3 linked regions of the Kluyveromyces lactis genome follow. The protein of the gene in region 1 interacts with the protein of each later gene in a pairwise test. Links are inferred from orthologs where the notes say so. Each region holds a gene or a part of one and is shown on either strand. Other genes may lie near its edges.

Evidence for each region.
Region 2: the proteins of RAM2 (region 1) and RAM1 interact in binary tests that used the Saccharomyces cerevisiae proteins (3 or more experiments, as listed by UniProt). The link is inferred for Kluyveromyces lactis from reciprocal best matches to the Saccharomyces cerevisiae genes RAM2 and RAM1.
Region 3: the proteins of RAM2 (region 1) and CDC43 interact in binary tests that used the Saccharomyces cerevisiae proteins (3 or more experiments, as listed by UniProt). The link is inferred for Kluyveromyces lactis from reciprocal best matches to the Saccharomyces cerevisiae genes RAM2 and CDC43.

Annotation. Positions count from the first base shown.
Region 1 is NC_006041.1:1,599,018-1,610,677, forward strand, and holds RAM2 (bifunctional protein farnesyltransferase/protein geranylgeranyltransferase), read left to right. Parts: upstream 1-5,174; coding exon 5,175-6,116; downstream 6,117-11,660. Other genes in the region: KLLA0_E17931g (tropomyosin), read right to left, coding at 1-225, 465-482; KLLA0_E17953g (uncharacterized protein), read right to left, coding at 998-4,453; tyrosine protein phosphatase YVH1, read left to right, coding at 6,418-7,485; MND2 (Mnd2p), read right to left, coding at 7,578-8,393; MCO12 (Mco12p), read right to left, coding at 8,712-8,963, 9,080-9,085; WD-repeat containing protein SWD2, read left to right, coding at 9,354-10,334; ATP-dependent 5'-3' DNA helicase HCS1, read right to left, coding at 10,316-11,660.
Region 2 is NC_006042.1:677,283-689,047, forward strand, and holds RAM1 (protein farnesyltransferase), read right to left. Parts: upstream 6,794-11,765; coding exon 5,504-6,793; downstream 1-5,503. Other genes in the region: KLLA0_F07095g (uncharacterized protein), read right to left, coding at 491-1,723; RNA-binding signal recognition particle subunit SRP14, read left to right, coding at 3,307-3,762; clathrin-mediated endocytosis regulator UBX3, read right to left, coding at 3,881-5,119; RIM13 (Rim13p), read left to right, coding at 6,983-9,040; NUR1 (Nur1p), read left to right, coding at 9,250-10,890; FG-nucleoporin ASM4, read right to left, coding at 11,000-11,765. UniProt on the Saccharomyces cerevisiae protein: Catalyzes the transfer of a farnesyl moiety from farnesyl diphosphate to a cysteine at the fourth position from the C-terminus of several proteins having the C-terminal sequence Cys-aliphatic-aliphatic-X where X is Ser, Ala, Met, Cys, or Gln.
Region 3 is NC_006041.1:782,328-792,124, reverse strand, and holds CDC43 (protein geranylgeranyltransferase type I subunit CDC43), read right to left. Parts: upstream 2,204-9,797; coding exon 1,118-2,203; downstream 1-1,117. Other genes in the region: HEM25 (Hem25p), read left to right, coding at 84-968; PBI2 (Pbi2p), read right to left, coding at 2,620-2,850; YFH1 (ferroxidase), read right to left, coding at 3,257-3,829; EXP1 (Exp1p), read left to right, coding at 4,243-4,674; ubiquitin-specific protease UBP1, read right to left, coding at 4,819-7,134; PUB1 (Pub1p), read right to left, coding at 7,898-9,325. UniProt on the Saccharomyces cerevisiae protein: Catalyzes the transfer of a geranyl-geranyl moiety from geranyl-geranyl diphosphate to proteins having the C-terminal sequence Cys-Ile-Ile-Leu or Cys-Val-Leu-Leu. Acts, among other substrates, on Rho1 and Rho2 and CDC42 proteins.

The sequences.
Region 1 (11,660 bases):
GTTATGAGATTTCAAATTGGTAGAATCTTCAGCTAGTTGCTTGTGTTCAGAGACTTGACCTTCCAAAGTCTCAACTTCTTCTTCCAAAGTTTGGTTCTTGGTAGTCAAAGACTTGATCAAGTTTTCGTTATCCGTCTTTTCTTGTTCCAAAACTTTCACCTGTTCCTTCAACTCTTCGTACTTGTCTTGCCACGACTCGGCTTCTAATTTCAAGTTGCTTAGCTTCTATTCGAACAAAAAACGGGGGCGATAGCACCCCCGCTTCACTTTCCAAATCTGTCACGTTCATTATTACTGAAATCAAATGCGGATCGCCATCAATCGACATACCGTTTCATATTTCAGCATTAAAGATAATGATCGTCAGACGAGGAATTGCATCTTGTTAGTAATTGCTTAATTCACATTGATCACCGGACCGAGAGGTAGGGGATCAAGTAGTTATGAAAAATCGCCACACATACTTCTCTGATCTTTTCCATTGTAGATGATTCGTATTAGTTCTTGTTTCAGGGAGCGTTTTTTGTGAAATTAAAGGTCAAATAACTCAATTGTTCACTACAGTAATTGACGAGTTTCAAACAATCAATGGGCACTAGTCTCTGATCTGTAATCAACGAACACACCCCATGTAAATCCTTCCTGATGTAATGAGTAAAAATACACGAAGCCTTTTAAGTTTGTTATTGTTTTTATATTTTCGATTTTCAGGCTTTTTCATACGTTCTGGATTTCCAAAGGCGGGAAACCATGAAAATCTGTTGAATTGATAGGATCGTCAGTGAGAATATGTGGTTTCAAAGGGTAACAAAGTCAGAAATGGGCATTTACACTGGATGCGATGATTTATTATGCGTATGTATTATATATTTGAATACATACTAGATATCTGGTATCGTGTCATTTAACAAAAAGCCATTATTTCAAGATTCGACTATATACGGGCTTTGCACATAGATAAAAGGTCGGTTCAAGAAAAAGAAAATTAAAAGTTCGACTAGACCAGGTAGTTTCCTTCTCCCAGCAGTCTATGATTTTGTAGGTTATGGATGGATTCTCTAAACGCAGCCTTCATTCTGTCGTTACCTAGTAAAGTTTTTGCCATCCAAGTTCTTAAGTTTTCGGATACCGTTTCCGAGATATGATGAATCTTGTTACCGTCTCTCCCAAATTGGAATGCTAGGAACGCAGATGATAGGATAACCATGACGGGAATCCAGAAGAAAATCAACATCTTATCGTTTCTGAAGTTTTGGCGTTGTTGGAAGAATCTGTTCAATCTTACTTGTAGGGCTTCTTCTTCATCCTCGGACGTTTCTGAAGTTTGAGAATCGTGTGAATCCGGAGCAGTATCGACACTGGCCTCTCTGACGATAGAGAGGCTCAATTCGGTGACCTTGTTCTTGCTTGTGTTCAATCCAGATACTGGGAATAAATCTTCATATTTAGGTAGTCCTTCTGGAGTACGAGCCGACCTGTCGCCTTCTTGCTCTTCACCGTTATCCTGGCTTAATTCTTCCGATGGCTTGACTGTCGTACCAGTGCCGTCTGCTCTGTAGGGATGCACATATGTCGAGAGTTGCAACTGGGATTCCCGCTGAGCAATGGTTAGTGAAGTATCGTCCTGTACTTCATCGTCCAATTCACTCATTTCGTCATAACCACTGAATTCGTACTCTGAATCGTCCGATAATGTATCCTGCACCATCTTGGAAACATGAACTTGGAAGCCGTAATCAACAGAGTCCAAAGATTCTGCATCGAATACGCTGGAATGGAAACTGGAGGTGCTTGATTTTCTTCCAAACATTTTCAACTCGTCTTCTAATTCGTTTTTTTCAATGCCACCATCATGCGTGGCCAATAAGCGCAGAGCATCTTCGATGTAGGAGTTGTTTTTCTCTGCAGCCGAAACATGCTGCGACTTGTATAGATCGAGAGCATCGACACCGTTGTCTGCCCTTGCTGTAACGTTGGCCTTACATTCTACTAAGAGTTGGATAGCCTTGACATCACCGTTGATGCAAGCAAAGTGCAATGGTGTGAAACCGAATGAATCAGTAACGTCAACTCTAGCACCTTTTTTGACCAAGGCAGAAACCAGATGGAAGTAACCCTTCAAACATGCCAAATGTAACATAGTTTGTCCATCTGAGTTACACATGGATAGGTTCGAGCCAGGGTTTAGCAATTTCACGACTTTCAATATTAACATTTCGTCTGAGTAGTATACCTGGTTGCTGGAGTTAGTGGCATATGAGTCAGCGTTATAGTTCGTCGAGGGCGAGATGTTTGAACTTGGTGTCGAACCATTCGAGGAGCCACCATCACTTCCAACAATTCTCTTGGCAATGTTTCTTGCATCTTCCAATTTACCATTCATTTTGAGTCCCACGATTTGCAAAGCTAGTTCAATCAATTGACGATCGGTATCGTCCACGTATGTAAAAATAGCCCTACTGTTTGACATGTTACCCAACAGTTGTTCATTACCATGATCTTCTCTTTCGAAAACAGAAACTAGTACTTGACCCGGTTTCGAAGTTGGTGGTAAATATGTAACGATGGTACTTTCACTCCAACACTGAGTAGATAAAGCTCTATTGTCGCCGAATTTAACAATCATATTAGGTTTGAAATTGGAACCCAATAGTGTCACTTCGATGCCACCTTTGATAGGACCTTGAGCAGGAATAACACGTTGAATAAATGGTTTTGGGCCGGATTCGGGAACAGTATTCGTTGTAGACGAACCCATCTGCTGCACTAGCACGTTAGGCCTTGGAAAAGCTGCCTGTTGTTGTTGTACTGGTGCTGCGATACCTGCAGCAGCAGGTTTCACAGACCCCATTTGAGATAACAAGTTTGGTTGTTTATTTTGTAACAAAGAATGAGGTGGACCAGATATCGAAGAAGAAACATCCAAAGCTGTAGTTACTGAGGTTGAAGAATTAGACAACGAGCGTTCTGACTTATTGGTACCGTCTATAGAGCTTCTTGGACGTTTATAACCATTCGTTCTTGCCGAGGCAGCTGCAGAAGAGTGGAAAAAGCCAGGAGTAGTCGGGTTTACTGGACCATGGTCGGTATGGACATTTTCTGAAGAATCCTCCGTAATGGAAGTTGGAGAGGGCATACCTTTTGGTATAGAAAGCCGTACTGGCGCTGAAGAGTCCTCAGCTTTCATACTCACGTAGGATTCGGAGTTACTATAATCGCTGGCTTGTCCTGTCATAGAATCTTCATCCTTGACATAACCATCGCTGGTACGGTTGTCACTAGATTTACCCTTGCTTGTCGTCTTTTTATCCATAATAACAATACTGTTTGTCACTGTTCTTGCCAAGATATTATCATCTGCATCTCGTAGAACCATCAACACCTTGAAACCTTCTGGCTCCTTATGATGTCTGCAGTAACATACGATACGGGTCATCAAAGAGAAATTTTTAGAGTTTTCATTGCATTCATGTTCTTTCATTAAGAGGACTTGTTTGCTATTAAAAACAATAGCTCTCTTGTTATCGTTGTTACACCAAAGCAGATTATCACTTACACCAGATTTCCGTCTCGCAGCTCTACGTTGTTCTCTTTTCACACACCTGGCACAAACGTATGTGGTCTTATTTGTTGACGAGCAAAGCAAAAAAGTCTCCAAAAACAACATCTGCCTCCTCACCTCGATGGGGTACTCTGTTATATCGTGAGTCAAATAAAGCTTCTGTTTCGTTATACTATCTGTCGGTAAATGGATCATATACTGTGGAGGTGGAGGGGAAATCGAGACGTTGACTTTAATTTGAGTTTCCACTCTAGATACAGAGGGGATTCCATCTACATTCAATTTGTATGGCAATGAGATATCATCATCATCCTTGGGGAGAAAATCAGTTGGGTTCAAATATACCGTCTTGAAAGGACGTGTTCTACCAAATTCCATCCCATGGGTAAGTAACCGTTCACTTTGTTGGTAATATGTAAGATTCTGCATTGGCACTCCGGTGTTATTACTGCTATGTTTCTCATCTCCCAGTTTCCATTGTTCGACATTTTCCCTAGTCAAATCGTCGTGGACATCTGTAACACCGCCAGAAGCATTCATCTGATCGTCAACATCCTCATGCTCATTCACATCCATAATTTCATCAGTATCTAACTTCAATAAATCAACATTCGTACGTAGCTGGTTTTCCATCTTCACAGGGGACACAAAATCCAATTTGAGTAAACCAGGAGAAGAATCGTCCTCTATCGATTCCATCAACATATCCTTATTAATATACTGGTCAAATAGGTCTGCAGCATCAATAGCATCAGAACTACTACTTACGTTGCGACTGCCCTCTCGAGGGCCGCTATCGCCGGCGCTATCCCTAGCTTCCTCATCGTTTCCTAAAAACAAAAAATCGTTCAAAAGATCGCCTTTAGACGTGTCTTTTTTCTCTGTAAGCATCCTTGACTTCAGCAAAGCACGACTATTCCTATCTAATAGTAATTGCCCTGGTTATATTATCGCTACACTGAATCAATACACTGTTGATATGGCTAAACAAATACATTCTCAATAACAAGCCGTGTTATCATTTGTTAAATCCTTGTAAAACTGTTTTCAAAATTCAAAAGTTCCAATATTGTCCGTCTAAGCTGATGCAAAACCGACAAAAATCCAACAAAACCTCTTCAAACTGGGCTGGAAATGTGTTTTTGGGGGATAATTGTGCGGTTCATTCTTTACAGAAGGACTACCCTTGATGGTAAGCCATCATTTTTCTGGCGGAAAATCCGCCAGAAAAATGTGTTTACCATCAACAATTCCCATCACGTGATTGTTTGTGTATTGAGTGTAAAGAACATACGTTTGGACATGACACGGACAATTTCCTCACCAGAGAAGAACTTTTCGTGTCTTAATGCATCAAAATTGAATAGATCTCACTTCATTGTAGACTGGTTTCCGTTCACCTTGACTCTTTTTCTCTGTTTGAGGTTACTTAGTATGGAAAAAATCCATTGCAATTCTCATCACTGGTGAAACTTGATAGCTTCCCTCCCCCCTTTAAGTACTATATATAACAGTTGTTCCCCGGGTCGTGACCTGTTCTAGTACAATTCCCTTATCACACTCTCACCAAACTTTAGTAAAACCAAGAACATCACAAATAATACACTATACCATGGACAAGTGCGATTATTCTGATGTTAAGAGAATACCAATCGAATCTGGATTGGAAAATGAACTATGTGCCATCCTATACACAGACCAATACAAGGAACTCGTATCATTATTCGTTGCATTATTACAACAAAATGAATTATCTGAAAGAGCAATGGCAGTAACTGCCGCGGTGATTGAGACTGTACCAGCGTTATACACCGCATGGAACTACAGATTCGAGATTTGCATGTCCTTGTTCCGGAAAGAAGATGTATCCGCATGGGAGAAAGAATTGGATTGGCTCGATGAGTTCACCTTAAATAACCCGAAAAACTACCAGATTTGGTCGTACAGACAAGCGCTACTCTCAGAACATCCATCCCCCAAATTAGTGCGAGACCTTCCTATACTAGACGTGATGATCGATGACGATACAAAAAATTACCATGTATGGTCGTACCGCAAATGGTCCGTCCAATTCTTCAAAGATTGGTCCCATGAACTCGACTTTGTGAACAAGTACATCGATAGAGACGTGTATAACAACAGCGCCTGGACCCATAGAGCTTTTTATTTGAAGAACGTCGATCATGTTCAAGAGGAAGGAGTAGCAGAGGTGGAAATTCAATACTGTATGGATAAGATATTGTTGGCTCCACAAAACGTAAGCCCCTGGAACCATCTACGTTTTATTTATAAGTCATTCAAGAATAACGAATACGATTCCAAGTTGATTAATTTTGCTTCGTCCTTCATAGATAACGCCTTGGAGACATATACCGACCAAGAAGAAAGACCAATCTCCCATGTTAAGTCTTCTTTCGCATTGGAGCTCCTAGCTGATGTATATTCTCAAACAGACTCGGAAAAGTCCAAGATCGCATATCAGGCATTAGCAGACACTTGGGATCCTATAAGGAAAAACTACTGGAATTTAAAAATCAGACAATTAACTATATAGGATTGTATTATTAACATACAAGGATGCCTTGTCGCGCAAAGGGCTCCCACATCCAAGCTCACTTGGCTATCCTACCCGTCGGTACTACAGAAGTATCATATCATCTCTACCTTCACTGACACAAATCACGTTTCTTTCCCTCAACTAGACTGGAAAAAAATTGTTCCAAGGCCAAAAAGATTAAAGAAGAAGAAGCGATGAGATGAGACGAGGTAAAGTTTAATGAGTGGACGGGAATCGCCTCAGAGAGAGATATTAGTACCGGCAAGTATTCATAAATAATCAGCTACAATCATCTGCAATGGCGAATACTGAATCTGATATTACAAGAGTACTAGGTGGGATCTATGTTGGTGGTATTCAACCAATTGCGAACCATGTTCCACTGAAAGTGAATTATCAGATCACTCACATCCTATCAGTGATCAAATTTGAGATCATTCCAGAATACTTGGTCAGGAAGAGTTATACTTTGAAGAATATTCCTATTGACGATAATTTGAGTACAGATGTGTTGCAGTATTTCAATGAAACGAATAGATACATCGATTCATGCCTGTTTCCCGATGAGATAGAGCTTGACCGAGTGAAGGTTGATTTCAAAAAGAAGCCCCAAAAGGGTGCCATATATATACACTGCCAAGCAGGTGTATCCAGATCTGTTACGTTTGCAGTAGCGTATTTAATGTACAGATACGGGTTCAATTTGAAGACAGCTTTACATGCAGTGAAGAGGAAACGGAGCGTAGCTGAACCAAATGAGAACTTTATGGAGCAACTGAAGCTGTATGAAGCCATGGGTTCGAATATAGTGGATGTCGAGAATAAAGACTATAAACAATGGAAATTACAGAATTCCATTAAAACTGATCCCTTGGGAGCCAATATCATGGCTCAAAATGAAATGTATAAGTCTGAAGAAGTTGAAGCTGAAAAGGTAGCTAAGTTATCGAAAGAGGAAGTAGAAGATGTTTCTGCGATCCGTTGCAAAAAATGTAGGTTTAGACTTGCATTTTCCACTTCTTTCATTAAGCATGATCCTCCAAGTAAGGAATCAATGGAAGGTCATTTCATTAGGAGGGCCGCAGGATCTAGAAGAATTATTGATATTCAACAATCACAAGACCGTTGTTCGCACTATTTCGTGGAGCCTTTGGAATGGATGAAGAAAGAATTACAAAAGCAAGAGCTTGAAGGTAAATTTTTCTGTCCGAACTGTGATAGCAAGATCGGAGGTTACAATTGGAAAGGTTCTAGATGCAGTTGTGGTAAATGGATGATTCCGGCAATCCATATCCAAACAGCTAAAGTCGAACAAATAGCATTAACTAGGAAAGACCTACCTAATTTAGTATCGTTTGAAGAATAATGGTCTCTCAGTACTCGCATAAATATCATTCATAAAGGTTAGCATTTTTTATTTTATTTGTTTAATACATGTCATTCTTCTTTAATAGGCATTTAGGTGAGGCTAGATACTCGTGAACCTTGAGCACCGGAGTCTAGAGTATCAGATATGGTCAACGATGGCTGTTCATGGACCGAATCCTCATTTTCATTTACAAATGGCAGTGCATCCACATTTGAATGCCTGGATCTTGACCGGTTGGTATAACTTGTATCAATTAATTGTGAATCCTCAACAAACGTACCTCTCGTTCTGTCGAGCATAGATCCTTGTTCGTGAACTTCCGCATACTCGTTATCGTAATCATAACTTTGATCGTACTCTTCTTCAGATTGTTCACCAACTTGTGCTGTCAGCAGTACCGATTGTTCTGTATGTTGATGATTATGATTTGACACAATAAATGAAGAGGAAGTTTGGTAGGCATTAAGTATTGGTTCTTGCCCTGAATTGTGTTCATTTTGTTGCTTGTTCTGTTTACTTCCCTTCTCCTTTTCGATCTCTTTTAGGGTTTTATCAATGCCAATAGGTCGCAAACTTGAGTAGCCAAGAGATCTTATCAGCAATAGTGTCGATTTATCTAGAATGTTAATGGTATTGGAATCAGACACATCTCCGTCATTATTGGCAATTAAAGGTTTCTCACTATGGCAAGTATACGCCGCAAGAGGAATCAATCTCTTCCCAGGCTTGATCCGTCTCTTGGTATCTTTATCAATGTTCCAACTCACCGGTTTCCCTTTTCTGCTTGTCTTGCTTTGCAGAAGCTCTTTTCGTAGATTGTTTATCAAAGGAATGTTATTGAAATCGGATGGTGCAGAAGGTTGTCTGAAGGCATCAAGGCCATACATAAACTCTCCAAGCCCCATATCTTACTTGTAAAGCCTACTGTCTCCAAAAATATTTTGTGAACAGCCTCTTAATGTCTGTTATTGCCATTGACACAGTGGTGTTTAACAGGACACAAGTAAATCATGATTTAAAGGTTTTATTTTAAAAGAAATAGAAAAAGCATCAACAAAAATAAGGAGAGCTGTACTACTCACCAATTACCAGTAGTTAAACGCCGGCGTCTTGATGGCATTCACTCCAGTTATCTTATATTTGATATGAATTGATAGAAGACACTAAAAAGAACTGAATATTATATATTAGTATGTATGTTTGAATAAACGTTATTGGTGTAACTACAGGTTACGCTTTCTTTCCATATGATCCAAGAACTTGTCAAAAGGAGTCTGTTTCCTAAAATAAGCACTTCTTTCAGCCATGTTAGCCAACTTATCGAATAAGTATTCTCCCCAGTCAAGATACCGTTTAATATAATTCTTCAAGTCAGACATTTCATAAGCGACAACATAATTGTTACTTCTACGCAATCCAGCCAATACCATAGACAACAACGCTAAGTCAATACTGTAATGAACTATATCTTTAACCTGATTGGAATTTGATAAATGCAGTTAAGATTACCTTTTAGTTAGTAAATCAAAGTCCGTTGATGAAAACGGTGGTGTATCTAACCACCTTCTTCAAAAAAATGAACGGTACGTACACCCATGATTCTTATTACAAATCTCAAATATGTCAGTTCTTTATAAAGCCAGAGTAAGACCAGAAAGGCTCTATTTCTCTACCTGCAAGTGACTAACACTATTGATTTCTTTGACAGATGTCATTACAATTTCGAGGAACATTTAAATTTAAATAAAACTGTTAACACCATCAAGAAATATTACCAATTTGGAGACAAAAAGAGAAGCTCAACGGGACACCAGCGGTTTAGCAACAGTTCTGTGATTATCTAAAAGTTAGCTGAGAAAGGAAATATGACTGTTAGCATTTCCAAGAGCAATCTTCTACGATTTGAGCCTGTGAAGTCCTTCAGAGTTTCTGATAAAGAATTGGGACCTATAACTTCAGTGACATTTGATGACCATGGCCAGTACTTGTTGACTGCAACTGCTAGTGATAATATGCATCTATATGATGCAGTAAGTTGCAGGTTTTTGAATACCATCGCTTCTAAAAAATACGGATGTCATTCCGCAAAGTTTACACATGCGCAATCAGAATGTATCTATTCATCCACTATGAAATCGTTTGACATAAGGCATTTGAATCTTGAAACAAACACATACCTTAGATATTTCCAGGGCCATGGTGCTCTAGTGAGCGATATACAAATGTCCCCGTTGGATGATACTTTTTTGTCTGCATCGTATGACGAATCGGTAAGACTTTGGGATTTGAGAAGCTCCAAGGCACAGGCCCTTATACCAAGTTTAGTCCCCACATGCATTGCTTACGATCCAAGCGGGCTTGTGTTCGCCATTGGTAACCCTGAGAACCATGAAGTCGGTTTATATAACGTAAAACATTTGAAGGCGGGCCCATTTTTAGTTATAAATGTGGATCCAAGCTTTGATCAGTGGAATAAATTGGAGTTTTCAAACGATGGTAAATATTTGTTGCTTGCGTCGTCCGCTGGAAAACATTTGATCATGGATTCCTTCGATGGTACACAGTTATTTGAATTATCAGGAACTAAACCTTTCCCATTGAGAGAGTTCATGGATTCTGGATCCGCAACGTTCACTCCAGATGGACGCATTACATTGGGAACTGATTACACTGGGAAGATCGCGATATGGAACCACGCAGACTTCATCAGTGGTAGGACGCTCAAACCTCAAGGATTTATTAACGCCGCACCAAATACATGTCCCAGAACTATTGCATTCAATCCTAAATATAGCATGTTTGTCACTGCAGATGAAACTGTAGATTTCTACGTATATAACGAATGAATTATACTGGGATCTGGATATATGACTTCGAAGCCAGACTCTACCCAGAGCACCCATCTATTTAGGAATGGCACTCGACATCTCGATAACATTTCCATGTTACCGATGACACAAAGCTGCCTTTTAGGTCTGGTCATCGCGACATTTAATCTTCTTTCATCTTTCAAGAACCCAACCTCGAAATTCTCGTTACTTCTTACTAAAGATAGGATGATGCACTCCTTTTCTCTACCTTGAAATCCGTCTACGGTAGATATCTCAATTGCTTGATGCTTTTCATGGATGAGTTTTTTCAACAGCGATACTTGTGAATTATACGGGGAGATCACACCAATACTTTCTTCCGTAACACCAGCCTTTATCAACTGCTCAACGTGGTATAATGCCAAATATGCTTCATTTTCGTTGTATTTTGAAGAGACTAGGTGGAACTTATCGTCTGCATCGTTGTCATTTTCATCAGACCTTTCTGGAAAGTCGTCTCCCTCAGTATCTAACCAAATACATGGGAAAGTAGTGTTGTCGTTCGATTCAACACCTGGTAAATCTGCTAGCAGTTGTTTCGCAACGGAGTCATCTGCTTTCAATTTCCCGTCATATAATTCGTTAGAAGAAAACTGCATAATTTCTTCGTTCATTCTGTACTGTACATTTAGCAAGTACTTAAATTCGTTGCCGTAATGTTGCAATAATCTGTCAAACACGGTAGTACTCAACAAGCGCTTTACTTTATCATTATCTTCAGTTTTGATCGTTGGAGGTAACTGCTTGTCGTCTCCAGCTATTATGAGTCTTTGCATATCTGATTTTAAATGTGAGATTAAAGGGATCCAACACTGAGGTTCTAAACTTTGTGAAACTTCATCAATGATCAAAGTATTGAACAATTTGGATTGTAGATCATACGCACTCAACAATTCTCGAGAACTTGAACCGTGTAAAGTGCAAACGACAATTTTGCTCTTTAAAATTATATTAATTAGCCCACTTTTCTCTCTCTGCCTCAATTCTTTTCTCAATGCCTTGACCTCCTGCCACCCTTTCTTGCGATCTCTTGAAGATTTGAGCTTTTTAACGCTAGCAATGGTATCATCAATCTCTTTCATAATGTCTTTTAAAATCATGCCCGAGTCTCCCTTTTTAGACAATACGTCAAGGGAATGTGACAAAACTTGTGGTAGTAGCCGAGATGGATGACCAATTCTTAATAATTCATCACCTGGAACAACTTTACTAAGTCGTTCCAAGATTGTATCAACGGAAATATTTGATGGTCCACAAACCAAAATCCTTTCCCCTCTATCGTATAACTGTTTTATCAACTCT
Region 2 (11,765 bases), on another chromosome or scaffold:
TATTCTTTTATGATTAGCAAATCAATCCTTAAGTTCCATAGTATCCATCATGTAAACATTTAACGCTTAAAAACTTTTATATTTATGATATATTTATATATAAGAAGAGAGAAGGAGAAAAAATAGAGACAATGTAAATGCCTTTTCAATTTTGTGATCGGAGGTCACAATTATGATTATCTGTCTCTTCGCATCCGACGTCTGATCAGTAAAATATTCTTATTATGTGCCTGTGAATGTTGTAACTGTTTTTCTTTCTCTCTTGGTTAATATGCGTAATTCAAAATCATGAGAAGGTTCAAAAGACGATGAGAGTTATAGTTCGTAAAATAATGTAGTAAGTTGTTAACATATTAATATATCATGTGGTGATGATAAGTGTGGACTATGGAAAGTAGGAAAGAAGGTGAGAAAGTATAAATGGAAATAAATAGGAGAATTGGTCATGAATTGATGGAAACTAAAGAAACCAAGTTAATTGTTAGCTAGTTCAGTTCTTCTTCTTACCAGTTCCGACACCAACGTTGTTCACGTTTCTGAACATGTAAACACCCTTGGAGTCAGCATCGTCAACGTATTGGCAAGTTCTTGCACTCTTCCATAGTGATACCCACATATTCTCATCGTTAAAACGGTAATGTTCACCCATAACCTTCTTGATAGCTTCTGAAGCAGGTCTAGCGTTGTAGAATGGAATTCTGGAACAGTAGTGGTGCAGAACATGTGTTTCGATAATGTCGTGGAAGATATGAGGGCCAATGAATCCGAATTGTCTATCAATAGTGGCAGCTGCACCTTTAGCGAAGGACCATTGGTCAGCCTCGTAATGTGGCATAGAGGCATCTGTGTGTTGCAAGTACGTGATGAACACTAACCAATGGTTAACCCAAATGTATGGAACAAACCAGTTAATGAAAACAGACCAGCCGCCAAATTTATCATACCATATCTTCAACACCAACGATTGTGTCAGAATACCCAAATCTGATAGCAGAATGTAAATGTAGTCTTTATCGTCGAACACAGGAGAACTTGGCCAGAAATGGTTCCATTTCCATTTTGGTACGTCTGGATAAGGCTGACCAGTGACATTGGTTAGCAAATAGTAGATCCAACCACCCAATTGTTGAGTAAGTAATTCTATCAAAGTTCTAATTGGAGAGTCTTCAGAGAATTCATCGATGTCAGCAAGAATACCACGAGACTTGACGAAATCTTCTTTTGTCTTTGGTACGAAAACCATATCTCTAGTAATATGGCCGGTAGCCTTATGATGCTTAGAGTGGGTATATTTCCATGAAAAGTATGGCACTAACAAGTAAGAGTGCAAAACCCAACCCACAAAATCGTTGACAGCACCATAATCAGAAAAGGCTTGATGACCACATTCGTGTGCTAACACCCATAGACCAGTACCGAAAAGACCTTGAACGTAGCCATAAAATGCCCAATACACAAACCTTGCAGCAACGTGTAGATCTTTGACGTATGGATAAGCAAAGACATTGGCAAAGTAACCGATACCGGCCATGATAGCGATATCACGGAACACATAGTATAACGAGACAGCTAACTTTCTATTATAGCATTCTGGAGGAATGGCACTTAAAATGTCCTTGATGGTATAATCCGGCACTTTGAACACATTACCATGTGTGTCTATAGCGACTTTGCAAGACTCGGTAGTAGTTTCAGCATCGGTTACGTACTGAGACTGAGACATTGTTTTGATTGGAAAATGTCCACAAGTAATCTAAAAGCGGGCCCAGTTAAAATCAGGAATATAAATTCAATACCAAAAGGTACACCGGGTGATACAGTCTAGATTAAGCTCTGAATTTATGCAGCAGAACCCCTTTTCACAGCCGAAACAGATATCAAGAGATTAGCCTGATGATATGTCCCTTTTAAATAGAACTAGATTGCTCAAATCTATCACTATATATATGTAAATATTCTATAACTCAAAAACTCAAAAAGACCAAAATTGGGACAATCTTAATATTTAAAATTTAAACTGCCTTTGGTTTTATATATTGGAAATGAAATTACGGTAAAGATTTGAATTAATGTATTTAGACAATACGCCGCAGCAGCGTTAACGAGAAAAAAAAGTAAGAAATATATATTTCGAAAAGTAACGGAGTGCACTACATTGATCTCCCTGCCAGCGCGCGTCAAGAAAGGGTCCACATTGGAAGTTACTGATGCCGTTGATATCCAAGGGCCTGGACTTAACAGGGCATGAGGATGGATTTATCACTCCGTTGCTGATACCAATCGTAACACAATCTTGCTTATTCACTATATACTACAAATAAATACTAAGAACGAATATCCAATTGGACAAAAAAGCACCTATAAACGATTGTATTGGCTACGCTTAACGGTTTAATGTTTCAATTCTTTTTTTTTACGAATTGTACTGTGGTGAAATCAGCGAGGGACACTGATTCTTTATGAAACCAAATCCAACCAAAAGGAAAATGCGTCAAAGGCTAGTAGGGAGAGAAAAAAAAAAAAAACAAAACAGACACCAATGTCTGATATCTTGCCATCGATTGACAATTGAGCTTCTACAATAACACTGGATACTCCCGGATCTCTCATCAAGGGTGAGAGAATGTACAGTTGATCGATTGAAGGTGTAACATTGCCAACAAAACTCTGTAGCAAATCACGCGATCAACTTACATATCCAATAGGATACCTCAAAAAACAGTCCGTAATCTCCTTGATGACAGAGAAGCTTACACACGCTTCTCTTTAGTGCAAAGTGACAATGACTACCCCCTTTCTGTTTCTCTGTAACTCATCGCATCTCATCTCATCTCGTCTCATCTCATATAGTATGGGGACCTGTTGTTTTTCTTTTTTTTTTTTGTTGGGAAAAACAAGATCGAGGATCGGAAATTTCTTTTTCTAAAAAAACTAACGAATTTCTTTTCGGGTTCAGGTGAATAGGCACAATTGATTTGGCAAATCTGGCGCAGATGTTAAATGTTATCCGGGTAATGAAGAACGTCACGTGGTTTGCCACATTTCATTCTTTTTGCACTTGTTTACCGGTATAGAAACAGAGTGGATATCAGAAACGTCGTAGAAATAAAGAGGAAACACATAGTGAAGGGACGATGGCCGGGTAGTGTAATTGCCAGTTGAAAAAATCGTACTTAGCTCCAGTCAAATGAGGGAAAGGCCTTAGATTCAACCTTCGACAGGCAGAATATGGTAAAGATGTCCAAAGAAAAAGGTTCAATATCATCACTTATCCAAGTCACCAGAATATACAGGTAACTTCCCATTATGTCAGACAAAGATGGAACCGCTAGTGGGCTTAAGGAAACGCCAGATTTCATAAAGAAACCTTTGTCTCATGACGAATTTTTTGTTAAGCTTGAAAAAGCTTTCAGAATGTCCAAGGTATCGCACAATCAGCTCAAAGTAAGCTTGAAAAGAGACTTGGGCAGTCATCACGTTCAAAAACCTAATGAATTGGATGTTACTTCCAATCCTACTGGTGATATCTCAAAGATGTCAGAATCCAAACGTTTAAAACAAAACGCTCAACCAGATACAAAACCATACAGACTTATCGTGCTAGTGAGCATGCCATATGATGGGAAACGAACGAAATTCTTCACTTTGGTAGATTCAAAGACTCTTGATAAATTTTGGAAGGATTATGTTAATGTTGTAAAAACAAGTATGTCTGGATTAATTAAAAAGAAGAAGAAGAAGAAGGGTGGTAAGAAAAACTGATGAAATATTCCCAACCTATTATCACCCATGAATCATAAATCCGCAATCGTGTAGCATTATAAAGTACATGTTATATATACATATATAGATGTCAAACTGCAAACCAGTAATTTGGTTTTCATTCGAACTCCACGACAATTGTTCCCGATGGATAAATTGTCCGTTCTTCCTTGATCACTGTGGTTGGCTCCAAACGGGTTCTGGGCACAGGTGAATATAGTTGAAAGTCATACTGATACTCGTAATTTGGTTTTTCTTGTGTAATATCATTCTCGCTGCTAGTGTCAGATAATAAACCTGCTCTGTATAATGCAACGTATGCGTAAATCTCCTCAATTGTTAATGAAGCATCAAATCTTCTAATAATTCTTTCATTTTCTAGTCTGATGCTTACTCTGCAACCGTCACCCGATGGTTCTGGCACTAGTACAGATTTTCTCCAAGCCAACCATTTCTTTTTAAGTTGGCTTTCCTCGATTACCCTATCCCTTTCCTGGTCCCTTTCTAGCGATTCTTGGTATCTCGAATCTTGTTGTTCTCTTAATAACCGTTGCATTTCCTGGTACTGTCTTTGCCTTCTAATCTCAACTAATACTGAATAATATGAGGCTAATTTGGCCTCAAAATGAGAGAAATCATAATCAAATAGTTGGCCCTCCACTCTGGCAAGCAATTTCATTTTATTATTCCGTTGGGGTCCAAGGGCACCTAAAAATGGAAACTGTCTAATCTTTAAAGAATTAGCAGTCTGTAGCCCTTGTGGTGTTGTAACATCGCAAAACCATACAACGCAATTATATTTGGTGACACATTCTACAAACTCGTTGGAAGTTAAAATCTTTCTTACGTACTCGAATGGATCGTATAGTATCGGATTGAAGAAAGATATTATTGCAAATTTACCATCGCTGGAACACCGACGTAAGATATCAGTGTAACCACCCTTAATCATATTTTTGCTCAACATTCCATTCTCTACATTGTACAACGTATCGAATGTATAACCACTCTGTTCGTTGGTATCGGCTGATGAAGAAAGGACATCTATAACATTTACGAATTGGTTACCCAAATCATCGCTGAAATGATTGTCTTTTCTTGTGTAGAAATGAAAGATCTTGCCTATTGGTTTGAAAACTTCCACCGAAGTTAACAGGATATTGAGCAAGTAATATAGTAATGTTAGTGGAATGTATAAGCACATTTTTAATATTCTAGGAACGCCAGCATTCAGTATTGTTTCCTGTTCAGGTTGTTCTGTATTATCATTGTCTTCAGGGAATGATCCTGGGAGAGGGGTAAAACTCACTGCAGGTTGGTTCTGCTGAGACGGCCTACTGAAAATGTTGAATACCATGTTCAACAGTTGCAGATTCGTTTCTATAGAAGAGTACAGCCTCTAATATAGGTGAAGCTTTCTCTTCTTCTACTGAAGATTTACCCTATGGATACCATTGACAACTTTTAAAGGATGTCTGATATTGTTTTTTAAATGTCAAATTTAATGGACAGACAATGATAGATCATCGTGAGTGGAAATTCACAAAGAAAAGCGCCACGGCTAAATAGTACAACTAAGGCATTTAATAGTTAGAGTATAATTCCCGATGATTGCTACTCTCAATTTTATTATATTCCGAAAGTTATTTTCTTCACCTATGGAGTCATGTTAATTTAGGTATCATAATGAGTATATAGTTTTATAGTATTACACATGCCATCAGAGTTAATCGTGAATTCATTACACTTTCATTGACAGATTAGACATGGATGGTTCTCCGCGTCTATTAATGAAATTGTTAACGTCAAGGATAGCCAGTCCGAATATGGGATGAATAGGCTCAACTTCCGGTTCTGGCACAAGTGGAGTTGCAACAAAATCGAAGGGTGAATTGTTTCGGACCATAAAAGAATGTTCGCAAATTGATAAACCAGCCAACACATAATTGGTATGATAAAAGTCCGCTTGTGTTCCCGGTTTATCTCTTAGGCCAGGGCTTTCTTCCGATTGACAGCATTTCAATATATATTGTTTTAGGGCGTCTTTATCTATGCATACTCCATACCCGTATGCTTCTAAGATTGCAGCAGTTCCGCCAACCCAAAAACTGTAGCAACCATCTGTAAGTTTATTGCTTCTTCCGTTTAAACCTTTCTCCTCTTTAGTTTGACGAGAACTACACCATGACAATAACGCATCGATATTGACCTTATCTAAGGCATTCAACATTGCCAAGCTGGCTACTGCACAAAAAGTGTAGCCACCATGTGCTTCATCATTTGGGCAGCCTCCGAAACCACCCTCGTAAGATTGGCATCTTGTCAAGAATTCCGTCACATTACTTGTTAGTTTAGAGTCCACAATGCCTAGTAGTGACGCTATAGATAATGCAGTGTATACGCCTCTCACATCTTGTTCGCCGACTGGGCGTGCAGTCATGAACGCGCCGCTAGGTGTTTTAAGAGAAATGAGCCAGTCGTATATAGCCTTTTTATTGATTTCTCTGTTATCATCGAGATTGTGACATAGAGCGATGGAATTTATAGCAGCGTATGTGGCCGCTAGATGTGGTAGTTGATGCTTTCCGCCGCTGAAGGGACCACCTGTAGGTGATATATACCATAGCTTGTCCAAAATACGCTTCTGATAATCGTTCGTAAGCCAAGTGGGATTCATTGTTTTGAAGGCATTGCCAATCCAGTACAACAGCCATGGCTGAGAGGCATCGAGTGATTTGAATCCCGAAGGTAATGGATTATTTAACCAATATTCAAGGAACATCTTATGAGAATCCTTCTGCAAATGGTTGAATTTCTCTGGAGCCTTTTCATAAAGCTCCAGACATTCATTTATTAACTCTTCCCTTTCCACCAAGGTTTCAGTAATCAGCCCTGTATTTGAAGTTCTAATTTCCATCACTTCTTCCTCATCTACCACTTCTTGCTCTATTGTTTCTCGTTTCCTTCCAAGCACATTGGTTCGAAGATAACTCATCTTTTTGATAGCCCTGGTAGCACTATTTATAGCCATTGGCCTTTGTCCAGATCTTTGCTTTCCTGTTCTCGCCCTCTTTGATGCTTCTGAAACTGGCAATTTACTATTACGAAACCTCAATCTTTATTCAAATAACATTTACGGTAGATATTTATAACTGAGAAATGAGTTTAATGCATCGATAACCTCAAAAACTGAGAATAAGGCTAAATGACTAATTGACTGATGCCCAGAGGAGCGCAAGCTATGCTGGAAAAGCAAGCAGACTCTGTGTGGAACCAGCTGTATGAGATATGCTGGAACTTCTACGTGAAGAACGTTTGGGATATTAACACATTTAAAGCGATAGTGGACAAAATAGAGAAAAGTGATGACAAACAGCTAATACGGTTTTTGATTTGGTTTAATGATGCTCGTAAAAGATCTAATTTCAATGACAAGTTCCAATGGATGACGTCTTTTTTGTATGGTAGGCGTTATCCGCCATTGGGCGATGATCTAGTGGTCAAAGAACCCTGGAATGATTTGCAACAATTAGACAGTATTATAAAGTACGGGAATGAACCAATTGACTTGGTCAAAATGCAGCCAGATTTTACTACGGAGGAACGTATTGTACAGAATAGGCGGGTCAACAACTGTTCTTTAATATGTAGTTTGACCAATGCTAGAGAGGAAAATCAGATAAAGAGTTATAGCGTCCATAACGTTTTCAACGTGATTCTTCATTTCAATGGGTCAAATCGACTAGTGTCAGTATTACGAGATTCAAATTTTCCAAAATGCTCTAAAGACGGGGCTGCCTTGACTCTCTTCTCCCATAATATAGAAGATATGTTGATTGAGCTTGCATATTTCGAAATCAAGAATAATCGGAACTACGCGTATGGGGGATCCAATACAGCTACTGATACTTATTTGCTCACAGGATGGATACCAGAGATTCTCAACCTAGGAGACGTATCATTTAGTGAAATACGTAAATGTTACCAATTCAATGCCATGCTTGCTTTAGGAACAGATTCAGTGAAGGGAAAAGAGGTAACAGAAAATCATGATTTTGTTGTGACTTCTGTCAATTGGAAGAAGGAACAATTTACCATCCTAAATCCTCACGGTACTGAAAACCCCACTGTGTATACTTGGGACGACCTAATAAAAGAATTCAAATGGTTATATGTAAATTGGGATCCATATTCAAAGTACACTCAACGTGTAAAACTACATGATCGATATCCAGATAAATTTAATGCATATCCTACCTGGACTCAAAAACCTTTGATGTGCATTGAGAACAAATCAAACAGCATTCAAAATTGTCATCTTTATCTAGAAAGACACCTACTAGATGATTCTATTCTCGAATCCAACCTGACAATTGGTGAAATTCCAAGGTCTGGGTTTACAGCTGTCTCAGCGGAGGGGAATAATAGTGGATTCTGTAATATGCAACTGCGGCTAAACCCCCATGAAACACGTCTAATCTTTTATCATTCAGACAAAAAGTGCAATTTGACTTTCCATTTACTATCTAATTCTGGTTTGGTTTCAATGTCAAAATGTAAATCAGATATATTAACTGCTGAGTCTAGCTGGAATATCACAAATAATCAGTGGACTATTGGTACTTCTGAATATTTCAAAAGTCCTGTTTTCAAACTAAAAAGTGATGGTTTCGATGATACTTATCTAGATTTTGAGCTAGTCTCGCAGTTACCAGCGAAGGTGAATTTTCAAATATTTGAGTCCGATGATTATGCCCTACAACGTCCGATCTTTAAGAATGACACATACTCCCCACAAATTTTTTCCAAGCATGGAGTAAGGTTATTAAAAGGGAGAGAATACTTTATAGTATGCTCCATCGCTCATCATATTACCTCTCCGTTCATATTTACGCTGCGAAACCCTGAAACAAAGCAGTCAAAATTTGAACTATCTCCATATTCGTTAGGATTTGGGGGATTAAGATATAATGAGGTTTTGCGGTGCAAAACGAGAATCACAATATCAGTTTCAAATTTCACGCGGTTATTTGTTCTGCTGTTCACGTCAGCTTCGAAAACAAATGGAAGACTCACGTTACGTTTGTACGAGAAAGAAACAGAGGAAATCCTCTTTGAACAAATAGAAACAAGGTATGATCTTAGTGTTAAACCATTCCCGATACCGAATATTGAACTTAAGCCAGCATCGTACGTGTTAGAAATATTCTACAATGCAGATGTTGTGATCTGTAATCTCGGAACTTCTCACCGAGCTATATTCGAATCGGATCTATAATTTCAACAAGTACGTTGTGGAGGTTTCCACCCACAAGCATATCCATCACATTGCATCACGTGATTTGTATTTATGTTTGCTCAAAAGGTAAACAAAAACGATTTATAAGATAAATAATGAAATTTGTAACAATTAAGGTCATAACGATCTTTGTCAAGCCGTTTACCGTTGATACTAATGCAAAAGCGCGGAAACAAAGCAAATAAATAATGGCATTTTGGCGAAATAGACATGAATCACCAGCCATTTCACAAGAAAGAAGCCCCAGTCCTGACAGGTTCCAAAATAGTGAAGATATAAGGGAAGATAATAATAATTATAATGAGGATGAAAAATTAGGATGGTTTGCTTCGTTCATGGGAATGTTTTCATTACCTTACGACTGGTACTTATCTATCAACGAAGATATAGCTGTGATTGACTGGGATAGTAAGTCAAACTCGGTAGCATGGCCTTTAGGAAATGTTCTAACCTTCCTTTTCTTCTCCGTACGATTATTGCAGGACAATGTGATAGCCCCAAACATCAATAAGCTAACTCATTCTGATGATGCATTTGACTTTTCAAAATCTAAGAATCTTCAGAAATATGATTATTTTCAGCAGTATGGAGGTTCCGCTTCTTCAAGCGAAAATTTATACTACAAAATGTTAAGACAATTGCACCGCCTGTTTTATCTGCTGACGGTGTTGTTATTAATCACTAATATTTCGGTAACTTATAGATATCTTTTCGCGCATTTCCAGACCTACTCGATTTTTTATTGGAAAACTGTTCCGAAGTCGAAGAATGTAACCAAAAAATCACTTCATGATTTGAACCATACCTACGTCGAAGACGCCAAAAGAGACTCTTTATGGGGGATGATTAAGTATCTCTTGTTCAATGGGTCTCACGATGATGAGACAAATAGAGCCCATTATTATGAATTACGAAAATGGACACCAAGCAGGTTTCTTACATCTTTTTTTGTCTCATTTTCTCCAATTGCATTCTGTTTCTTGTGGATGACAGATGTTACTTTCAAAACTCTTATTCCAATCATTATTCACCAATATGTTTTATGGTTTATTGTTATTGATCGATACGAGCAGAAATTGAAGGATGAGCAGATTTTGAGCATGTCCAGTGTGGCTGAATTAAATTCAAAAGTTATTCAACCTAAAATGAATGTCTTGAAGCAAGATGCGATGGTTGACGCAACACCTTATAACGATGGAATAGTTTACTTCTATCCGGCTTACACCACTACAAGGTCGCACGTCTTTGCAACCCACACTTTGAGTGGGAAACTTAGTAAAGAAAAGTATAATCCTCGCACAGATTCATTCGAGGATGCCAATTCACAGCGTACGGAAAACTACGTAAGGTTCTCGTACCATCACCCTAAGTCAATAAATGGTGCTTATGTACGAGAATCGTATCCTAGCAGACAGCATAGTCCGCGTTTGAGCCCTTCTCGCTATTCTCATCTTCAAAGTGGTAATACACCTTCCGCTCCCTCCACGCCACTTCTAATACCATCTCAACAACCTCATTTCGATCATTCCATGTTGGCCAATGCATCTAGAAATCATAATATAAGTGAGAGAAGAAACTCTCATAGTCCTATTAAACAACACTTTGCAAATAGGTTACTAAACTATCCGGATGAAACAAATGATAGCATACCCGATGTGTCTGATGACAGATTCAGAATGGATGATCGTTTCAGAAGAGGCAGACAAGGCTATTTCAATCGATCTCCCGACATCAATTCTGGTACGTTACATTACGATGATGGTGATGATGATGATAACCGTATATCAAAGTCTCCCTTTCGGAATTCATCGTCTTCACCATTTCGGTAGTTATTCACTCAAATACTCACATTCATTGAAGTTTGGTGCACTGGAATTTCTTGAGGTATCCGTAAATTATATAAACATAATACATCTCTAATTACTAAAGACAATGAGACTATAGGTCGTTCCACCCGAATAACCAATTGTTGACCCTTCCAATTAAATTTGTTGGTTGTTGGTTATTCCCATGCTGTTCCTGTTCTCGTAACTTGTTCTCCAAATTTCTTAAAAAGTTTGGACCACCATGAGGAGGGTTTGCATTATGCACAAACAACTGCTTTCCATCTTTGACATCCAATTTCCGAGTAGAAAAGGTGAACCCATGTTTATTATTATCAGCACTTTCTTGTGTCCCATTTTGTATATCAGATGATTCAGGTCCGTTTGGTTTCATCGATAAACTGAACGGGATTTCTCCGATGTCATCAGTTTTATCGATTTTGCACGAAGCCAATTGTTCTACGGCTGTTTTGCTATAAGGAACGCAGCCAATTAAACAACCTCCATAAACGGTACCATTCTCTTGTAGAGCTCTCAGAGCGGCACTAGGGGAGTCATACGTGATTTTAATCCATCCATCGCCCGTGAAGATAGGATATTTCTTATGAGGAATTTTAGAGTCCTTATTTTGAGCACGAATTCTAATAGTAGCACTGGATATGTTGTTACCTGTAACACCTCTTAGAACCTCAAGGTCCTCTAAAATATTTCCGAATTTTGAGAAATGTAATATTATTTGGTTTGAAATGGATTCTGGATATCCAAATACAATTACTGCGCTCTCTTGCGATTTTTGTCTTGATATATCATTTGTTTGATCCGCTGTCGGTTTTACAGGGGATTTCGACGCATCTCTGTCGAATGCGTTTCTTGTGCTCTTA
Region 3 (9,797 bases), about 810 kb from region 1:
TGTAAGAAGTGGTATGTGGGTTCACTATCCGGTATTAAGACTGTTTAGGATTTCATACAAACTGTTTCGTTTGAGGTTAACATATGTCTGAGCAACGAAGGGCCACTACCCATTTAATTGGAGGGTTTTCTGGAGGGTTAGTGTCAGCGATTATCCTTCAGCCATTTGACTTGCTAAAGACCAGACTTCAACAGGATAAGACAAGTACACTATGGAAAACCTTGAAAAGCATCGAGACCCCGTCTCAGCTATGGAGAGGTGCATTGCCGTCTTGTATACGAACTTCTGTTGGTAGTGCGATGTATTTGACAATGTTAAATAGTATAAGACAAGCGATTAGCAAAGGGAAGAATACCGGCAGCACGGGGAGTAGTTATTTACCGCAGTTAAACATGTATGAGAACATGTTTTCTGGTGCGGTAACCAGAGCTTTGACTGGCTTGATTACAATGCCTATCACCGTTATTAAAGTGCGGTATGAGTCGACGTTGTATCAGTATACATCATTAAGATATGCCACATCACATATTTTCCGAACCGAAGGGTTACGTGGGTTCTTTAGAGGTTTTGGAGCTACTGCCCTAAGAGATGCTCCATATGCAGGGTTATACATGTTATTTTACGATCGGATGAAGGTTTTGGTTCCTACACTGTTGCCTAGCAATGTTGTAAAACTCAACTCAGATAATAGATACTCGACTTATGCCTCGACGTTAATAAATGGGTCAAGTGCTTTTTCTGCTGCAGTGATAGCAACTTCTATAACAGCTCCCTTCGATACTGTGAAAACAAGAATGCAATTGGAACCAGCTAAATTTCACAGTTTTACATCAACTTTTTGGCATATTGCAACGAAGGAGAGCGTCAGGAACCTTTTCGCCGGTATCAGCCTTAGACTTACAAGAAAAGCATTTAGTGCAGGAATCGCTTGGGGTATTTATGAAGAGATCGTCAAGAAGTTCGTATAAACAAATGAGCACAATAACACCTAGTTGGAAAGAAATAAGAAGAAACCTGTAAATAGAAGCTTGAATTAGCCACTGTATTCTTTCTTCTCCAATGGGTTAATGCTAATAAATATGTACAGATACATACTAAAAGTTACAAATTCAATAACTCAACGCAGGTTGAAGTTATCCATTATTAGTTTCGGGATACAGAGCACCCCATTTATCTCATCATCTATCAATTTTAGAGCGGATATTCCCATCATGCTATGATATATATCAGGGTCATCTTGATCATTCTTGGCAAATCCACCCACCATCTTATTCTGAGTTTGATTCAGTAAATAATCTCGTATCAGTGGAACATCAATAAGCTGACTCCAACGTTGGGGCTCTAAGATTCTTAAAGAATTTAAACACCAAAACGCGTAGCACGTATCCGCAAGTTTATTTTCTCTCCCGTTAAACCCACCTGAGTCATCCGGATCGTAATCGTCGTTTAAATCCTGTTCAACAAAGACACCAATAGCAGAAACCTGTCTGTTCACCAACCAATGAAGAGTATCCTGCCTAAACGAGGCAGGAATGTTTTGTAGTTGATTTAGTAGAGATAGAGCAGATAACGCGCATGATGTGTATCCACCGTGTGGCTCGTTCCAGTCACCAAATCCCCCCATTGTGCACTGACGTGACATGATATATTGTAGCAGCTTAGAAACGTTAATATACCGAGAGAAATCCGATTCTGATCGACATCCGATAAGATATAGGATCGATACTGCAATATAACAGAACCTCAGATCATGGGAATCGAACTTCGATGGATATCCAGCATTATCCAGAAAAGAGGTAAATGACCCATCAGGTAACTGACAAGATGAGATGAATTTGCCCAACGTATCACGGTTCAACTTCTCATCAAAGAATTCGTGATCCCCCAACAACATAAGACATATTAGTCCAAATAATGTATTTGGTAAATTTATAGTAGTCAATTGCTTAGCGTGTCTAAAAGACGGGATGGCAAAGCCAGAGTAATCAGCAAGTTCAATATAGCACGATCTAATCCAATCCAAACTGTATTGGAAGTCCTTGCGCACTGGCTTGCCCAATAGCTCAATCGCTGTCAACGAATAGAACGCAATGGCTAACCTATTGGGATCTATATCCAGGCGATGAGACGGCAACAATTGCAAATGTCTTTGACAAAATTTTATGTGTTTTGCCACATTTTTATCATCCATCACTCCTTGCATCCGAAATATAGCATCCGTTCACCTCTAATTCCCTATTTGGTTGTCTTATCCTCCGTCTTAATCGATCTTTCTAACTGGAGATTCGCACTTAATATGTTCTTAGATATCATTTTCCATTATAATAGAAAAGGTGAACATAAGCACAGTTAGATGAAAAGAGATATCCCGTAGAAGAGGACGTTGATATGAATACCAGAAGTGGTTATAAGATTACAGATATGAATGCAAATATATAGACGTTATCTAATTGACATTCGACAGTACCGGTTTTCTATTCTTGTTGTAATAATCTAAAAGTTGTTCTTGCGAATAAAGGGCCCTGCCCGATATTTCGAGTGATCAAAGATCTTGAGTAAAGGGACAAAAAAGGAACAACCATCATGTATGACTCGGACGTTCTCAATATGATCCCCTGCTTATAAAGCTTTGACCTCTTTATCTTCCTCGATAGTTTCGAAAGCATCACCGTGCAAATCCTTCAATTTATCAATCTTTAGAGACTCTGGCAACTTGACAGCAAATCCCTTAATTAAGGAATAGTCATGGACAATAGTACCACCCAGAGAAGAAATGGAGTTTTTGATCTTTGAAGCGTCGGCTTCTGGAACGCTGTCTTTGAATGTGATAATGAACGATTTGAATGTCATGATTGTTATGATTGGGGTTGTTTGCTTCTGGCTCAGAATGACCCCTTCTTTACCGAGACTATCAAATGTGGTTTATAGAAGAGAAAGTTACTGAGTCAAACAGATTTCATTTATAGAAGAGAAAGTTACTGAGTCAAACAGATTTCATTTATATAGCAACAAAGTATAGACTATAAAGAACAAAAGAAGTCAGGGACTGTGTAAGTGCAATCGCGTCAGTAAGGTATATTTTGGACGTTATAGGTATAAATAAATGAAACAAACAAAAGTATATACATAAATAAGAGTAAAATTGGTTGATTGTGATCTCTGAATTGTTTCTGCGAAATTGGGTCCTTAACGGTGAACTGCGGACATGCCATAGTTGTAAGGCAGTTTGTGAGCAGCAAGATCATATTTACATCGTTCAGTAATGTAGGTCAATTTCGTCGCCTTCTAGTCGGTCACTGAGCTCTTTGTTTAGGATATCCAGTAACTTCGTACCGTCTCTCAACGAAACCCACTCCTTTTGATAGTAATCGAATCGGTTGGGCCCAGACACCGGAGAAGCCAACCATATTTGTTTATTTGGGGGCTGCTTGTTGATTACATATGTACCAACGGAAGGAACTTCTATACTCATCACACCTTGTGACATCTCAACATCCTGCACGACTTCTGGATGATAATCACAGAGAATTTCGAGCTGATCCAGTAAGCTATCCATAAACTCATCAGAAATTTCGTGATACACTTCGATAGGCATATCCAGAATCTCTTCTGGGATAGTTTTCCCATCTGTTGATGCTGCTATACTGTTATGCATCCGCTGTACTGTAACAAAGGGTAGATTATGTTGATTCAAAATCCCGAGTTTTGACAACACAGGAGCCCTAGTTGGTGCAGTTCTTGCGAGACCTATGCTAGGTATCGCTTTGGTAACAATACTACGTCTGGAAATGACGCTTCTAATGACCCTGGAGCTATTTTTCACTAGCATTTATTCCTTATCTTCTAATTTCTTTCCTACTGTATCAATTCAATACTCCGAATAATTCCTTTGAACGTTGTCTGTTCCCGCAAGCCTCAAGGTAAATTTACTAATTCAAGCTAATAGCAACTAGGACTGATTCAGTTTTCGCACCTCAATATGTTGTATGCTGAACTCAACGTGATAGAGAATAACGTACCTAAACTGTGATTTCTCAACCTACTTCAACTGAAAAGGTCCTTCAAGTCTTTTAAGTTTATATCTAATTTCCACAATCTATATTGAAAAAAAAAGATCGATGAGCCGACACTCACACTATATGGCTAATGGCTATGCATACAAAGGGAAACAACTGTTTCTTAAGATATAATATCAACTTCTTGACGAAAAGTGCCAACTAGACGTCAGTACTGCCTTTCGCAATGAACCCATTTGTATATTTAATTGTGTTTCTTTTAGTGGTAGCTTTCGTTGTATTACTACCGCTAATTGGAGGAATTGGTTCATATTCAGTGGACAAGAAGACTACCAGACGCAGTGGTGATGCCAAAGATTCGGAAAAGGCTGGATCCCTTGCAAAATATGCAAAATTGAAGAAAGAGGATGCACCTGTGAAGTTTAAAGTTAGTTCATCACAAGAAGGTGAGGGATTTGGGACTCGGAAGTTCGAAATCGATGGGAAAACAGGGTTGAAGAAGCGTGTCATTGGTAAATACAATGAGGACGAAGCTGAATTTGATTATGATGTTGATGAGTTGATCGCGGAGGATTTAAGAGAGCAACAACAAGAGGAAGCTGCAAGGTATGCCCAGTATTTGGGTAAAGAAAATGAGACACAGGAAAATCTTGTGTGAGCCTTTTTGTTCTCACAAGTAAAGAGGTTTACGTACAGCGTTTCAAACTCCTCCAAAACTCTGATTGTAACATGCTATTATATTAGGGGATTTGTGATATTTATGTATCTATGTAACTAGATGCGTGAAATTGCAAAATAAAATTCAATGAGTTACTTGATCAACAGCAGGTTCACCTTCAATCTCTACGTTGAATTCATTCTCGTATTCAGTATCGTCTTTCATCTTCCCTGTTTCTGTATCATAATCGTACTCGTAGAACAACATGAAAACACCGGGGGTAGAAAGCACTTCTTGTTCGTCGACAATGTAAACACTTTCGTCACTAATTCTCCACCAGCAACCACGGAACCTTCTAAATGCAATGTAATGACCATAGTTATGAGTACCATAATGTACAATAACAGATCTTAAAACATATGTCAAAGGCCCGGCAGGAACGCTGGACACAATTGGTTGTGTAGGAGGAAGCGGAGGTGTTGGCAAGGAGTCATCTGATTCTTCTTCGGAGTTTTCCTCGTCTTCTTCAGCTTCGTCTTCTTCATAAGCTTCATCCTCATCATCATCTTCAGGATCATCTTCTTGCTCAGAGTTGCCTTCGGCATCTACTATATCGAGGTTTCCTCTGGAGATAGACACATCTTGATTGCCACCTAATAATGGTTTTTTGGCAGTCTTTTTTACGATTGTATTTCCAAGGGCATCTAACTCCACCTCTTCGACTTCAGCAATATCGTCTTCGGATGATGACAACGATGCCGAACTTAATTCACCATTCAAAACATCATGCTCTTCCACCATTCTTGAAGATCCATTGAACATTCCTTGACCATTATCACTTCCATCCTCCTCTTCATCGCTGTCTTCAAATTCTTTTTCAAATCTGCGATGCAACTTATTGTAGTATTCAGTTCCATTATTGTCATCTTCGGATGATTCGTGCCAGTTCTCTTGCTTCTTGGACATCGGAAGACGTGCATCAAGATTAATCTTATCATAATTGCAACACCAAGGTGATAGATTCAATTTGCTTTTGAATATAACTCTTGAGTTATTTTTCCTGATCATATAAGTGCGAGGGTCAAAAACGGACCGGTTGATGTGAACAGATAACAATGGTGGAGGTCTAGAAATCAAAATTTGTTTTGACTTTGAGGATTTGCGAACCATGTTCTCAGTATGCATCCTCTTATAGTCATCATCATCGATGGCAAGCTTTGACAACACTGATTTAACTTCATTGATCCTATCCTCCATCAAGGTTACTAGTTTTTGATTGACATCTGGCTGTGATTGGATGGTGTTCAGTTGTTCTACTAAATGTTCCAAAACAGCGTTCAATGCACAACGATTACAGTCAACTCCTTCGATGATCTCAGGTTTCGACCACTCGTCAAGAAGTTGTGACAGTTTGATTGGGGAACCGATGTTATCACTGGGTAAATTCAAAGATAGACCTGAGAAGACTGAATATCTTATCCCACCATTCTCACCACATTGCAAACATCCAATTCTTTCGGCAGTGATACCATCTAAGGGAGTAACAATTTTATATGGAGAATAGAATTTCCTACCAGATGCAAGCACGGAGTTTGGGTCGATCTGTTCCGTTGGGATATAGACATCACCAATCTCGCCGAGGTGTTCTTGTCCAACAATTGCATCTTCAGGCAAATCATCTTGTGGTACTGGCTTTGGATCCTTTTCTGGTTTTCCATATATGCTTTCAACATTCTTCTCCAGCTCTGAAAGGATAGTTTGGAAAAACTCTTGAGCATCTTCTTGATCATAACCTAGGATGATGTTCCTATTTGGAGCTTTTGACATAGTTTTCAAAAGTTTGTTGGTCTTAAACCATGGTCTGTTACGGTAATGTTTCGCATTCAACTTTGAGAATAGATCCTGAAGAGCCAATGTGAAATGCATATTAGGTTCTGTTGAGTTTTTTAAGAGCTCGTTGTCTGCTTGACGTACAGCGATCTTTTTCCTCTTTCCATATGTCTTATTCTTTGTTGCTTTAGGCTTCTTCTCAACAGTAGATTGCTCATTAGGCAAATCTGATTCTTCTCCATTCTCATCAATTGTATTTTGACTGTCATCATTAGAATCTAGGATAATAGTGTCCATGAATTTATGCAACTCTTTGGACGAGGCCAAACATTGGAGCACTGAATTCATAAAGCATGTGTTACCGTCATTCACTAAACCTCCAACATAACCACCTCTTCTGACAATAGTCTCCTCTTGCTCCGCATTTCTTGGAGCCCATCGACCAAGCATTATTTTATCCCTTACTGCTTGTGTAATTTCTTTCGTGGTACTTACAACAGAAACAGCCACTCTTGTGATATCAAATTCGTTCTTGTACAGGAAGTATAGCGAAGCAATTAATCCAATTAGTACCGCTTTTAAAACTCTCTTTTCTTCAAAGCCTAACTTCTCTAAAATCGTGGTTAGCATACAAACAATAATGTATAATTGAACGAAACGACTAGCGATTAATTGATAGGATCTTTATAACTGATTATGGTTTTTCATAAACCTAGTTCTCTTCACACTTTTGTATTTGTAAAAAGCTTAATCCGTATAACAATCCTACTCTTTGATGATCTTTAAAATATCTATTGCTATTCAGTTATTGGAAAATATTTCCAGTAAAAAGATTATGATAACTTTGAATATCAGATTGACAATAACAGTATCAGATTATCACAGCAAAATTGATACTTTTCCAGGCATGTATGTTCCTATCAATGGCAAAACCTATAATAATTTCAGAGTTATATAGCTTTCATTCGTTACATTTTTGAACTTTTTTTTTTTCATTTTTTTGGTTTAAGAACCACAGACGTATGTAATGTATAGGCCTATGGGTTTGGGTTCACTGGTAAAGAAGATTACGAGAGTTAACAACAAAACTATATAAGAAAGATGAGGATGTACTACTTGGATTAATTTACTTGACAGTAAGCGTTAAGGTCCGTTCCTCTTTGTACACACTAAAGAATCATAAGGCAACGATAATTTCTATATATCTAATAATAATGCATGGACATGATGGACAGATCTAGAAATCTAGGGGACAAAAAAAATAATAACGGTTTATATCATTATATATAGGAAGTTAATAATGGGTCATCATCACATGTAGAATCAGACAATTTCGGATGGAAGAAAAATGTCTAGTGTTGGAACAATTAATATTTTTTTTGTTTTAATGAACTCATTGCTCTTGTTGCTGAGGTTGCTGTTGATCATGCTGCTGAGGGGCATTTTCAAACTGTTGCTGTTGTTCTTCTAGTGGAAGTTGACCAGGAATTGGACCCATTTGTTGTTGTGGACGAATGAAAGTTGGTTTTTCCTTACCCCAACCGGTTCTCAAGTTTCTTCCTTGGAATGGGAAATTTGTTAGAGCCACAATACACAACGCAGCTTGTTCATGAGTATCATATTTGATGAAACAACAACCCTTTTCTGGGTAATGCTTGAAGTCGATGATGAAACCAAAGTTTTGTAGTAATGGAATCAAGTCGTGTTCTTGAGCGAAATGTGGGATGTTACCGATGTACGCAGTGGTAACTCTTGGAGGAGCTCTTCTCATCATATCTTCAACGGCTTCTGGATCCACTGGAGGAGGAACCAAAGGAGCTTGATGAATTGGAGGAATTCCAATTGGGGGTTGCTGTTGCAATTGTGGGGGTAGGTGAGATTGCATTTGGTGATGTGGTGGTGGACCAGCATGTCTGTTGATACCGTTGTGATTGTGGTGATTTTGGTTCTGATTGTTGTTATTACGGAATCCACCACGGCCACTGGCAGGACCATTGAATCTTCTTTGACCTTGTTGACTTTGTTGGGGTTCACGTTTGGAAGCCCAGTTGATTCTTAAGGCTCTGCCGTTCAATTCGAACCCTTGTTTAGTTTCCATAGCCACTTGCGCTTGATCTTGTTCACCAAATGATACAAAACCGTACCCTCTAGATCTACCAGATTGCATATCCCACATCACGTGAGCTTGAATGAAGGATGGGAACTCTTTAAAAGTGCCGGCCAAAGTGGCGTCATCGACATCGACGTTTAAATCACCGACGAACAAATTGAAAGTTTCATCGCTGTTAACCTGTTGAGATTGGAACGCCCAATTGATCTTAAGGACCTTCCCTTCTACTTCCTTACCATTTAGAGTTTGGTATGCGACGTTAGCATCGTGTGGTTCGAAATATTCAACAAACGCATAGTTACACTCTTGACTGTTCTTATCTGGAATAATTTTAACGCTGGAAATGGACCCACCAATTTGGAAATATTGTTTCAATAGATCATCATCAATGCTCTTTGGTAGGTTACCAACGTATAAGATTTTATCTGACTTTTCTCTACCACCTTGAGTAGCCAAAACAGGCGCGGCAGAGTCATCTTCCTCATCTCCTTCTTCTTGTTGTTTTTCCCCGTCACCGTTGTTATCCTGAGAAGCAGGCTTTTCAGATGCCGGTGCCTCCTCAGTAGCAGGAGCAGTGGTAGCAGCTCCAGGTGATTTCTCTTCGACGGTTGTAGTAGCTTCATTGGAATGATCCTGTTCGACAGCTGGAGCTGGAACCGGAACTGGTGCTGCAGTCTCAGTTTGTGCTTGTTGTGATTCTTCAGCAGACATTGCTATTCTATGTTGGCAAATTTAACGTAAAACAAAAAAACTCTATTCTGATATAAATCAATATCTTCCTCGAGTGAATAAACTGGTATACGTGAGTGAGTGAATGTAGATCTCTTCTTTAACACACTTAGATTAAAAGAATAAAACAATAAAAAAGGTTACAATTGCAATGTAGAATAGAACTCTATCCTTTCTGGCACCTCGGGTATAAACTTAAGCTATTAATGACTCTGAAATCGCCTTCCAAGTAATAGTACACAGAGGGTTTATATCAAATTGAGATCATAAACACGAATTCTACCAATGGGTGTCTCAAAATGTTAATTGAAATGAAAACCTTCGAATCTTTTTTCCTTCCAAATATCAATTTCCAAATCTGTGAAAAAATCTGGGTTTTCGCCAGCATTTCATATTTTCACGACTGTGAGTTTCTGTGAAATCGAATGGAAAACAGGACAGGAAAACGCAGGAA